Linked DNA regions of Ovis aries. The main gene of each other region encodes a partner of the protein of the gene in region 2 in a complex. Links are inferred from orthologs where the notes say so. Each region holds a gene or a part of one and is shown on either strand. Other genes may lie near its edges. The genes, in order: IRF2BP1 and BANP.

Region 1 (4,232 bases), about 40 Mb from region 2:
CCTCTTTCCACTCCCCCTCGGGGGCACTGTGTCCTCTACCTTCCGGGGATGGGCCAGACGGGAAACCTAATTCCCGAGCTTGGCTGTGGCTACCATTCAAGAGCCATCCCCTTCCCCCGCCCGGCTCCCCGCGTGAGCCTTAGTTCTGGCATCTGGAAAACGGGCTGATGACTAGAAGGCTAGGCCAGCCTTTGTAAAAACAGCCGGTGAGCCCACCTGAGTGAAGGGCGCCACCTGGAGGCTACAACGCGACGTCCTCTCCCTTGCAGGTTCAGTTTAGTCCCAAAGGGGGCGCAGCATCGCACACAACTAAGGGACCAAGAAGGAAAAAACCCATCTTTCGGTTTATTGAAGGGGGGAAAGGGGGTAAGATGGGGGGGGGGGGGCGGCAATAAAATGCTTTTGCTTCATTTATAAAGAGCGAGATTTCAGGAGGCCCCTTCTCAAGGAGGAGGGGGCCACCTCTCCCTCAACTACAAGCAGCAGCAAAGCCAAGCCAAGGAGGGGAGAGGGAAACCAGAGGGGTCAGGGGACCCCAAACACCCCCTCGGACAGCTTTCTCCCCCCACCCTCAATGCATCTACCCCAGGGGACCCATCTGGGATAAGGAAGTGGGTATGTACACAGGTGAGGGAGGCACAGGCCTGGGTAGGGGAGGGAATAATTTATCCGCAGCAGCGGTGGGTGGCAAGGGGTGGAGGGGGGCGGGGGTGGATAGGCAGTAGACTGGTGGCAGTAGTGGCCTAGGGGTCCCGTTCTTTCTTAACCTTGATGTCTCCAGCAAGAATGGTGGCGATCTCTCCCTGCATGAAGGCCCAGGGGACAGAGGAGCCCACTAGCGGGCACTTGTCTCCGCTGGGGCAGTACACCTCTCCAGCAGGGCCCTGAGCCTTGATGAACTCGCGGGAGCAGGGAAAACAAAACTTATGTCCGGGCACTGAGGGGCACTGGACGAAGTGGGTGTCTTCCAGACGCTCCCGGCAGAGGGTGCAGCACAGGGGGGCCCCAGGGGTCGCCCCGGTGCCACTACCACCCCCGCTAACAGCTTCCGCCCCTGCTGTGGGGCTCACTTCTGCCTCACCGTTGCGGGCCACTAGACGATGCTGGGCTGGAGGTGGGGCCGTGGAGGAGGCGGCGGGGCTGGCACCCCCGGCGCGCACAGGGCCCCCACTCCCGGCAGGGTCCTTGGGAGAGTGGCCCAGGGCCTCGGCTACGTTCTTCAGGGCGGCGATAGGGGAGGGCACACCAGGGGCATCAGCGGAGAATGGGCCACCGGGTGCCACCCAGTGCCGCTGCTGCTGCTCCTCTGTGGTCATCTTCCCAGCTGCCTCGCCCTCGGGCTCAGGGGAGGCCTTGCGACGGCGTGGAGTGGGAGCCAGATTCCGGGATGGGGCTCGTGGGGGAGGGCCGCAGAGAGCTGCAGGGGCCGGCTCTGGATACTGCTGGGGCAGGGCCTCGGCGGGTGCTGGCTCGCGGAAGCTTCGGACCCCATCCGTTAGCAGCTCTCCCAGCTGGCGCCATTCCCCAGAGCCGTGCCGGCGTTCATATTCGAGGTACTTGAAGCCTGATGAGGCCAGCGCCTTGCCCGGCTCGCGCAGAGCATCATGAAACATCTGGCGAGCGACTGCCAGGACTCCCGCGTACACGTTGCCAGAACCACAGGGGTATTCGGTGAAGAGCTTCAGCTCGAACTCGTAGCCTGGCGGGCGGGCAGTAGCATCGAAGGCGAACACACGTCCCACCAGCCCGTGATCCTTCTTGAAACGGACATTGAAAGGGGCGCAGGCGGACAGCGCCAGCAGTTGTTCCCGCACGGCTTTGGGGCGCCCGTGCCATTCCTCTGCCCGGCCCCTCATGGCCTCGTTCAGTTCTGCCAGACAGTCCGCATTCCTCTGTTGCTTCTCCTTCTCGAAATCGGAGCCAAAAGCTGGACGGGCAGGACTCAAGCCGGGTGCCAGCGTCAGCCCTCGGCTTCCCAGGCCAGACACCGCAGCTGCTAGCAGCCCGGGGGGCACCAAGCCGGGCATGGAGCCAAGCAGGGCCCTTCGCGCCCCCTCCGCCACAGCCTCTTCACGGCCCAGTCCATTGGCCAGGCGGGACCCCAGGGTGTACTCCAGGGCGGGCGAGGGCAGGGGGAGGCGGCCCGACGATGTGGCCCTGTCATAGCGGTCCTGGCCGGAGACAGCGCCGCCTGTCCCCGACGGCTGGGGCTGGGCCTGTGGAGGCGGCAACTGAGGGCCCTGTGCGGCGGCGGCAGCCAGGTCCTTAGTGGCCGGGTGTTTGAGGGCTGGGGGCCCCGGAGAACGGCCCTCGGGGAGCACGTGGCTGCGCTTGAGCTGGCGGGCGGCATCAATGAGCAGCTCGATGCGATCCGCGCCCTCGAAGTTCACGCATCCGCGGCACACGGCTTCACTGAAGTCCCACACCATGGCCCACGGCATCTTGGGCAGGTCGCACAGGTAGCACCACTGGCGGCGGGACGCCTGCACGGACGCCATAGCCCCCGCACGCGCCCGTTCGGGCTCTCGCCTTCCACCCGCCGCCGCCGCCGTTCAATCCGCGCCGCCGCCGTTTGATTCGCGTCCCCGGGACCGCGCGAGCCACCGCCAGGCCTTTCGCTCGGCCTCCCAGTGGATCCAGGCCCGGCCCCCCTTCCCCGCCCCCTGGGCCCTAAGCCTTTTTCCTCACTCCCGCCTCCTCGAAAAGACTGGCAGAGGCACGTCGGCGCCCCCGCCGGGTCCAGGATCCGGGCCGCGGCGCACAGCTCGGGCCCCGCGATGGGCCGCGGGCGCCGCCGCCTCGGGCTCCCGCCTCTCCCGCCGCCGCAGCCGCCGCCGCCTCTTTCTGCCCCAGAGGCCGCTTCGCAGGGAAAGTTACATAACGCACCGGCAAAGCCTTCTGGGAAACGTAGTCCCGCAGGGGCCTGTTCTTAAAGGGGACCGCAGGCTGCAGGAGGGTTGGGGCTCGCTGCCTCTCCGCTGCGCAACCGTGATTACTCCTCGCCGCGGGGGAGGGAGTTTGGTCGCTCCAAGCAGCTGGAGACCAAGGTTGGGGGCGAGGATGTGATACGGATGGTGAGAGCCACCGAGGATTCAGAAATTGCGGGAGGTGGACAGGCATCCGGTTTCTACTCCGACTTGCTGTGCAACTTTAGGCAAGTCTTGCCTTCTCTGAGATTCAGTTCCCCGCCCTTCAAAAGGTGGGCCGGCTACCGGTTACTGAAGGCAGCAGTTCGTGGGACGGGGGCGGAGGGGCCTTAACTGGAAGGTTTCAGGGTAGGGGGGCGGACAGGAAGCTGGCGACTCAAGCGTTGGGTAGGGCTGTCCACTTGGCACTTCGTCTTGCCTAGAATCTTGGATATCAGATTCTTGACTGGGGCAAGCGAAAACCGGAGAGAAGAGAGGACTCAAGGTCTCCGCGTCAGTTGCTTTATCTGCCAAAGGGAGTGGTCGAATGCCCCTGTTCCAGTTCAGCCGGCGCGCTCTGGTCTCCAAAGGGTTACACTGTCAGTTTCTGCGCACCCCGCAGAACTTCACTACAATTCCCGAAATGCTCCGCGGGGCCGACAAACCGACGCACTTCCGCCGCCTGAGAGGTTGATTGAGGCCTTCACGATTCCCGCTGTCTGTCCACAACCCACCCCCCACCTCAATTTCTGGGGTTTCGGAGCGCCCGGTTGAGAGGAGCTCTCGACCTCGACGGCTCACTAATTTGGAAGGAGAAAATGAGGCCAGAGATAGCAAGAGTTGGAAGTGGGGCATAGTTTCTGTGGAGAGCGAGAACCAGACCTCGTTTTTCCAACCTTGAGTGCTTACTACCTGATAGGCAAAAGCAGGCTTTTGGGACCCTCGTGCTTCCCGGCGATGGAACGCTGCAGGGCATGCTTGGAGAAGGGGGCATGTGGAGGAGAGACAGGTTTCCAGATTCTAACCTACATCAGCCTCTTTTCTCTAGGCCTGGGTCTGTTGTTCTCCAGTCGCTAAGCCTTGTTTGACTCTTTGGCTACCCCATGGATTGTAGGCCGCCAGGCTGTTCGAAGAAGTAGGCATGAAGACTGGAGTGGGTTGCCATTTCCTTCTCCAGGGAACCTTCCTGACCCAGGCAGGCATCGAACCTACATCTCCTTCATTGGCAGGCAGATTTCTTTACCACTGAGCCACCAGGGAAGCCCGGGTCTCTGTTGTGCTCCAAGTATCGTAATAACTTGCCGGGGTTGCATTCATTAGCAGTTT
Region 2 (4,489 bases):
GAGGCAAGACAGCAGGGTGATGAGAAGGGATGCTGGAATAGCTACTCACACAGAGCGACTGGCCTCAGAGGTGAACTCTGCTCACCCCATTAAAGTGACTTTTAGTATCATATAATAAATCCATAAGAAAGAACATAAGATGTGCAAGAGATTCTGCAAATTTCTGGCAGACCAGGAGGATTAATGGGGGAAGAGGAAACAGTAACCGGAGCACACAGGAGTGGACACAACAAAGGGGGCCTCCAAGCCTATAAAGGCTAGGACTCCAAACCAGGAGAGGGTGAGGGTTGTGCCTGCACATGGAAGTCAGGTCCCTGTACGAAGAGCTGTACAAGGGCCGTCCCTAGACCAAGTGGAGCAGCCCCCAGTCAAAGGCATCTTCCTTAAGCAGAGAGGCCCAGAGAAAATCTGCCTTCTGGCATTTGAGGTCCCAGCACAACAAAAAGTTCCCCAAAACCCAATAGGAAACCTGCACATTTTCAAAAGCAGTCCCACGGGGGAATTCCCTGGTGGTCCAGAGGTCAGGACACCATGCTTTCACTGCTATGGGCCCAGGTTCAATCCCTGGTTGAGGAACAAAAATTCCATAAGCCACCATGTGAGTGTGACCAAAAAATCAGCCCCCCAAACTCATGAGTTCTCTGCCTGCTTCCTCTGGCCTTAGACAACAATAATTCCAGTATTTGAAGAGTACTTGCCACACAAAGCAAGAAGCCCGTCTTTTTAAAAAGAGGAAAAGAACAGTGACACAACAGAACACAAGAAATCAGAGAACAAAAGGGAACCAAAAAAACCCTTACTAGTATCCCCAAAGTCAAGGAGAAAAATGCATTCATCAAACAATACATTATTATGAAAAAAGAACATTATAAATCCTTAGAAATTAAACTTTGATTGTGGAAATGAAAAATTTTTAAGTAGGACTGGAGGATAAATGTTTCTATCCCAGAAACAAGAATAAGATGACACAGGAAGAAGATAATGACAGAAGATTCAGAGGGTTAATCCAAGATGTCCATCATCAAACTAACAGAAACTCCTAAAACAGAAGAGTAAAAGCAGAGCTGGAGAAGGAAATAGCAACCCACTCCAGTATTCTTGCCTGGAGAGTCCCACGGACAGAGAAGCCTGGTAGGCTACAGTCCGTGGGGCCACAAGAGTCGGACAACTTAGCGACTAAACCACCACCAAAAGCAGAGCAGAAGACATTCTCAAATGACACAAGACTTTCAGATTCCAGAGCTGAAGGACAAGTCCCCAGAGTCAGAAAGCAGTCAGAGTAGGACTCTACACAGTTTTCGGGAATTCCGGAAATGTCTTAATACCAAAGAGGATCCTGAAGAGTTATCCAAAAGGAATAAGGCTACTTGGCAGTAGGTTCTCACTGAAATAAAGGAAGTCAAGATTAAAACACGAGACCTGAACAAACTCAGTTGTATATAGTAAAAAAAAAAATGTCAAGATGATACTGGTGCTGGTCTAAGGAGTAAACAATCCAGATTAGAAAAAGACCACCACAAGGCTGGGGAGAGGGGGATGGTAAGAGAGATTTAGTGCCATCCTTCAGAATCTAAAACAAGGTAAAGTGGGACTTCCCTAGCAGTCCAGTGGTTGAGACTCCATGCTTCCATTGCAGGGGGAACAGGTTCAATCCCCAGAGAACTAAGATCCCACATGCCTCGGGGAATAGTTAAAAAAATAATAAAAGGTAAAGAGTCAACAGGAACAAAAAGTGCAAAGAAAAAGAAAGGCCATCACAAACAACAGAAAAAAGCAAAAACCCGTATAACAGGGGAAATAGACTACCTAGCTGTGAATATCTGCTTAGTTATAAACAATCTGAACTGAACATAGTGATCAGGGGATAGAGGTGAGACGCGATATGAAAAAGTCAGTCATCCTATCTGTTAACAGCAAGTCAGGAATGTATAAAACCAGTAAAGTGCCAGCTTATTATTTATAGCAACGAAGAACTTCCTCATGAAACAGCAAAAATATAAAGTCTTGGAGGAGTGGAACTGGGAGGTGGGGTGGGGGCTGTTGTTTTATAGTCTTCCATTGACACTTTGCGGCATTACTTTATTAAAGTATCAAACGTGTGCAGTTTTTTCAGAACATGGACTTGGGACAGATCGCATTCAAACCTGGCCGTGTGACCCAGGGAAGCCCCTTCCCTCCGTGGGCCGCAGCCACCTCCCTGTCCCCCTGACCCGACCGCCGCGATGAGAAGCGCTGGAAACGCCGGCGGGACTGGCCGCAGCACTGGACCCACACACGGCATCAGCTTTCTCAAAATTGGAGCCGTGACAGGACCCGACGTCCCAGGAGGAAACGCTTATTTTAATCGCCAGACAAGGGGGGGCAAAGGAGCTTTAAACACACGGAGTTAACGTTACCGGCGGCTCGAAGATTCCGAGCACCGGGCAGGGGTCCCCAGGGCCGCTCCTCACTCGGGCCCGCCGCCCGCCCAGCGAGAACAGCCGCCTCCCGCACTTCCGCCCGCAGCCGCTGTCCCCGCGTCCGCGGCCGCCGGCCTCCCGGGGGGGAGCCGCCTAGCCGCCTGCCAGCCCGTGGCCTCACGACCCGGAGCGGCTACACCGCAGCAACAGCAGCGCGACCCCACCCCGCCCGCCCGCGGCCGGACGCTGCTCTTGCGGGCCTGGTCCCGGAAGGGAGGCCCGCTCCGCGACGGACCCCGCGCACCGCGACGGCGGGGGCGGCGGGCCGGGGGATGGGCGGCCGGAGCCAGGTGCGGGTGCGCTGAGGCGCGGCGGGCAGGCGGCTTGACAGGGCTGAGACGGGGGCGCACAGGACGGCGGGCCGTTGGGGCCGGTGGCCGTGTCGGGGGGGCGGGGGCGGCGGCGCGGGCGCCGCGGCCGGAGGAGGGCGCAGGGAGGAGGGAGGAGGGGAGATCTCGCTCTCGCTCTCGCCCCGCGGGAAGGGGGAGGTGGAGACGCGACCGGCTGCGGGAGCTGCAATTACCGTGTGGGCTGCGGAATTCTCGTGGTGTTTGTCGGGGAGATGCGATAATGGCGTCCGTCCTCGCGAGAGAAGCCGCCGCTCTGCGCAGGCGCCGCGAGTCCCTCCCCGCGGCCCTCCGCCCTGCACCATCTGCGCAGGCTCACCGGGAGGAGGAACGGGGACGGGGCAGGGCGCGAGGGCGGGGCCTGCTGCTCGGAATCTCCCGCCCGCGCTGGGCTGGCGCCGACGACCGCCGGGCATGCGCACGGGTCCTGCATCCTCGCCACAGATTGGCCTCCAAACTTCTTACTTCTCTGTCACGCGTTCAGGCTTCTCACTAGCCCCTGAAAAGTCGCGTTGGTGGACCGTTCGGGGAATTTGCATTTTCTTTGAGGCCTAATGAATAGGAATTAGCGCCATAGACGACTACATGTCCCGGAGGGCCCTGCGCAAGCCTCGAGCAGTGCATTCTGGGACTCGTGGTTCCTGCGTCTGCGCGAAGCCTGCTGGTACTTGTGGTCCCATCCCCCCCGACCCGTGCCAGCGCATGGAATGCTGGGACTTGTAGTTGAGGTGTGCAAGGCCGCTGCACCGGGCGCGGCTCTGGCCACTGCTGCAGCGGGGTTCCCCTGAGTAGCAGGCGAGCTCAGGGGTTCCCAGGTTCGTCACAGGTTCAAAGACACGCTCCTAGAAAAATATATATTAATTATATGTGATATATATTTTATGTGTAATTGATGTTATGTATTGTGATGTTTGTTATGTATCCTTAGAAAAGGCAGAGAGGAACCAGAGATCAAATTGCCAACATCTGTTGGATCATACAAAAAGCAAGAGAATTCCAGAAGAATATCTACTTCTCCTTCATTGTCTATGCTAAAACTTTTGACTGTGTGGATCACAACAAACTGGAAAATTCTTATTAAGTGACAGTGAAGTCCCTCAGTCGTGTCCGACTCTTTGCAACCCGTGGACTGTAGCCCACCAAGCTCCTCCGTCCATGGGATTCTCCAGGCAAGAATACTGGAGTGGGTTGCCATTTCCTTCTCCAGGGGATCTTCCCAACCCAGGGATGAAACCCAGCTCTCCCACATTGCCGGTAGACGCTTTAACCTCTGCACCACCAGGGAAGCCCTTAAATACAAGAATACAGTCTCTCAGAAAACCTCCTATAGAGACACAGAACTTCAGATCCAGGTACTAACATCAAAGATTTCAAGGGAGGAAAGGAAGCCAGGTTGAAAGAAGAAGGGGGAGGAGGCAGGAGAGGGGGGGACGAAAGGGGTGGCCTTACAGACATCTCCTGCCACCTACAGATGCCCAGGTATTATGGGACTTTTCCCTGGCCTCCAGAGAAGGGAGGACTGAAACTCGACCCTACCAGAAATCAGACCAGACCAGAACCAGAATTCGAGTTCTCTGCCAAGAGGGGGTGATCAGTCGCCAATCCTCAGCTCAGGCTGAGGGCCCTTTGACCAGATTCCTGTGTCCAGGCCCGGGGGAGTAGAAAAACAGGGAAGGATAGGAA

Evidence for each region.
Region 1: BANP (region 2) and IRF2BP1 share a complex: the UniProt entries of both Homo sapiens proteins name them as parts of the corepressor complex. The link is inferred for Ovis aries from reciprocal best matches to the Homo sapiens genes BANP and IRF2BP1.

What each region holds. Positions count from the first base shown.
Region 1 is NC_056067.1:53,190,038-53,194,269, forward strand, and holds IRF2BP1 (interferon regulatory factor 2-binding protein 1), read right to left. Parts: upstream 2,819-4,232; 5' UTR 2,499-2,818; coding exon 744-2,498; 3' UTR 326-743; downstream 1-325. UniProt on the Homo sapiens protein: Acts as a transcriptional corepressor in a IRF2-dependent manner; this repression is not mediated by histone deacetylase activities. May act as an E3 ligase towards JDP2, enhancing its polyubiquitination. Represses ATF2-dependent transcriptional activation.
Region 2 is NC_056067.1:12,929,130-12,933,618, reverse strand, and holds the start of BANP (protein BANP), read right to left. Parts: upstream 3,065-4,489; 5' UTR 2,397-3,064; intron 1-2,396. UniProt on the Homo sapiens protein: Controls V(D)J recombination during T-cell development by repressing T-cell receptor (TCR) beta enhancer function. Binds to scaffold/matrix attachment region beta (S/MARbeta), an ATC-rich DNA sequence located upstream of the TCR beta enhancer.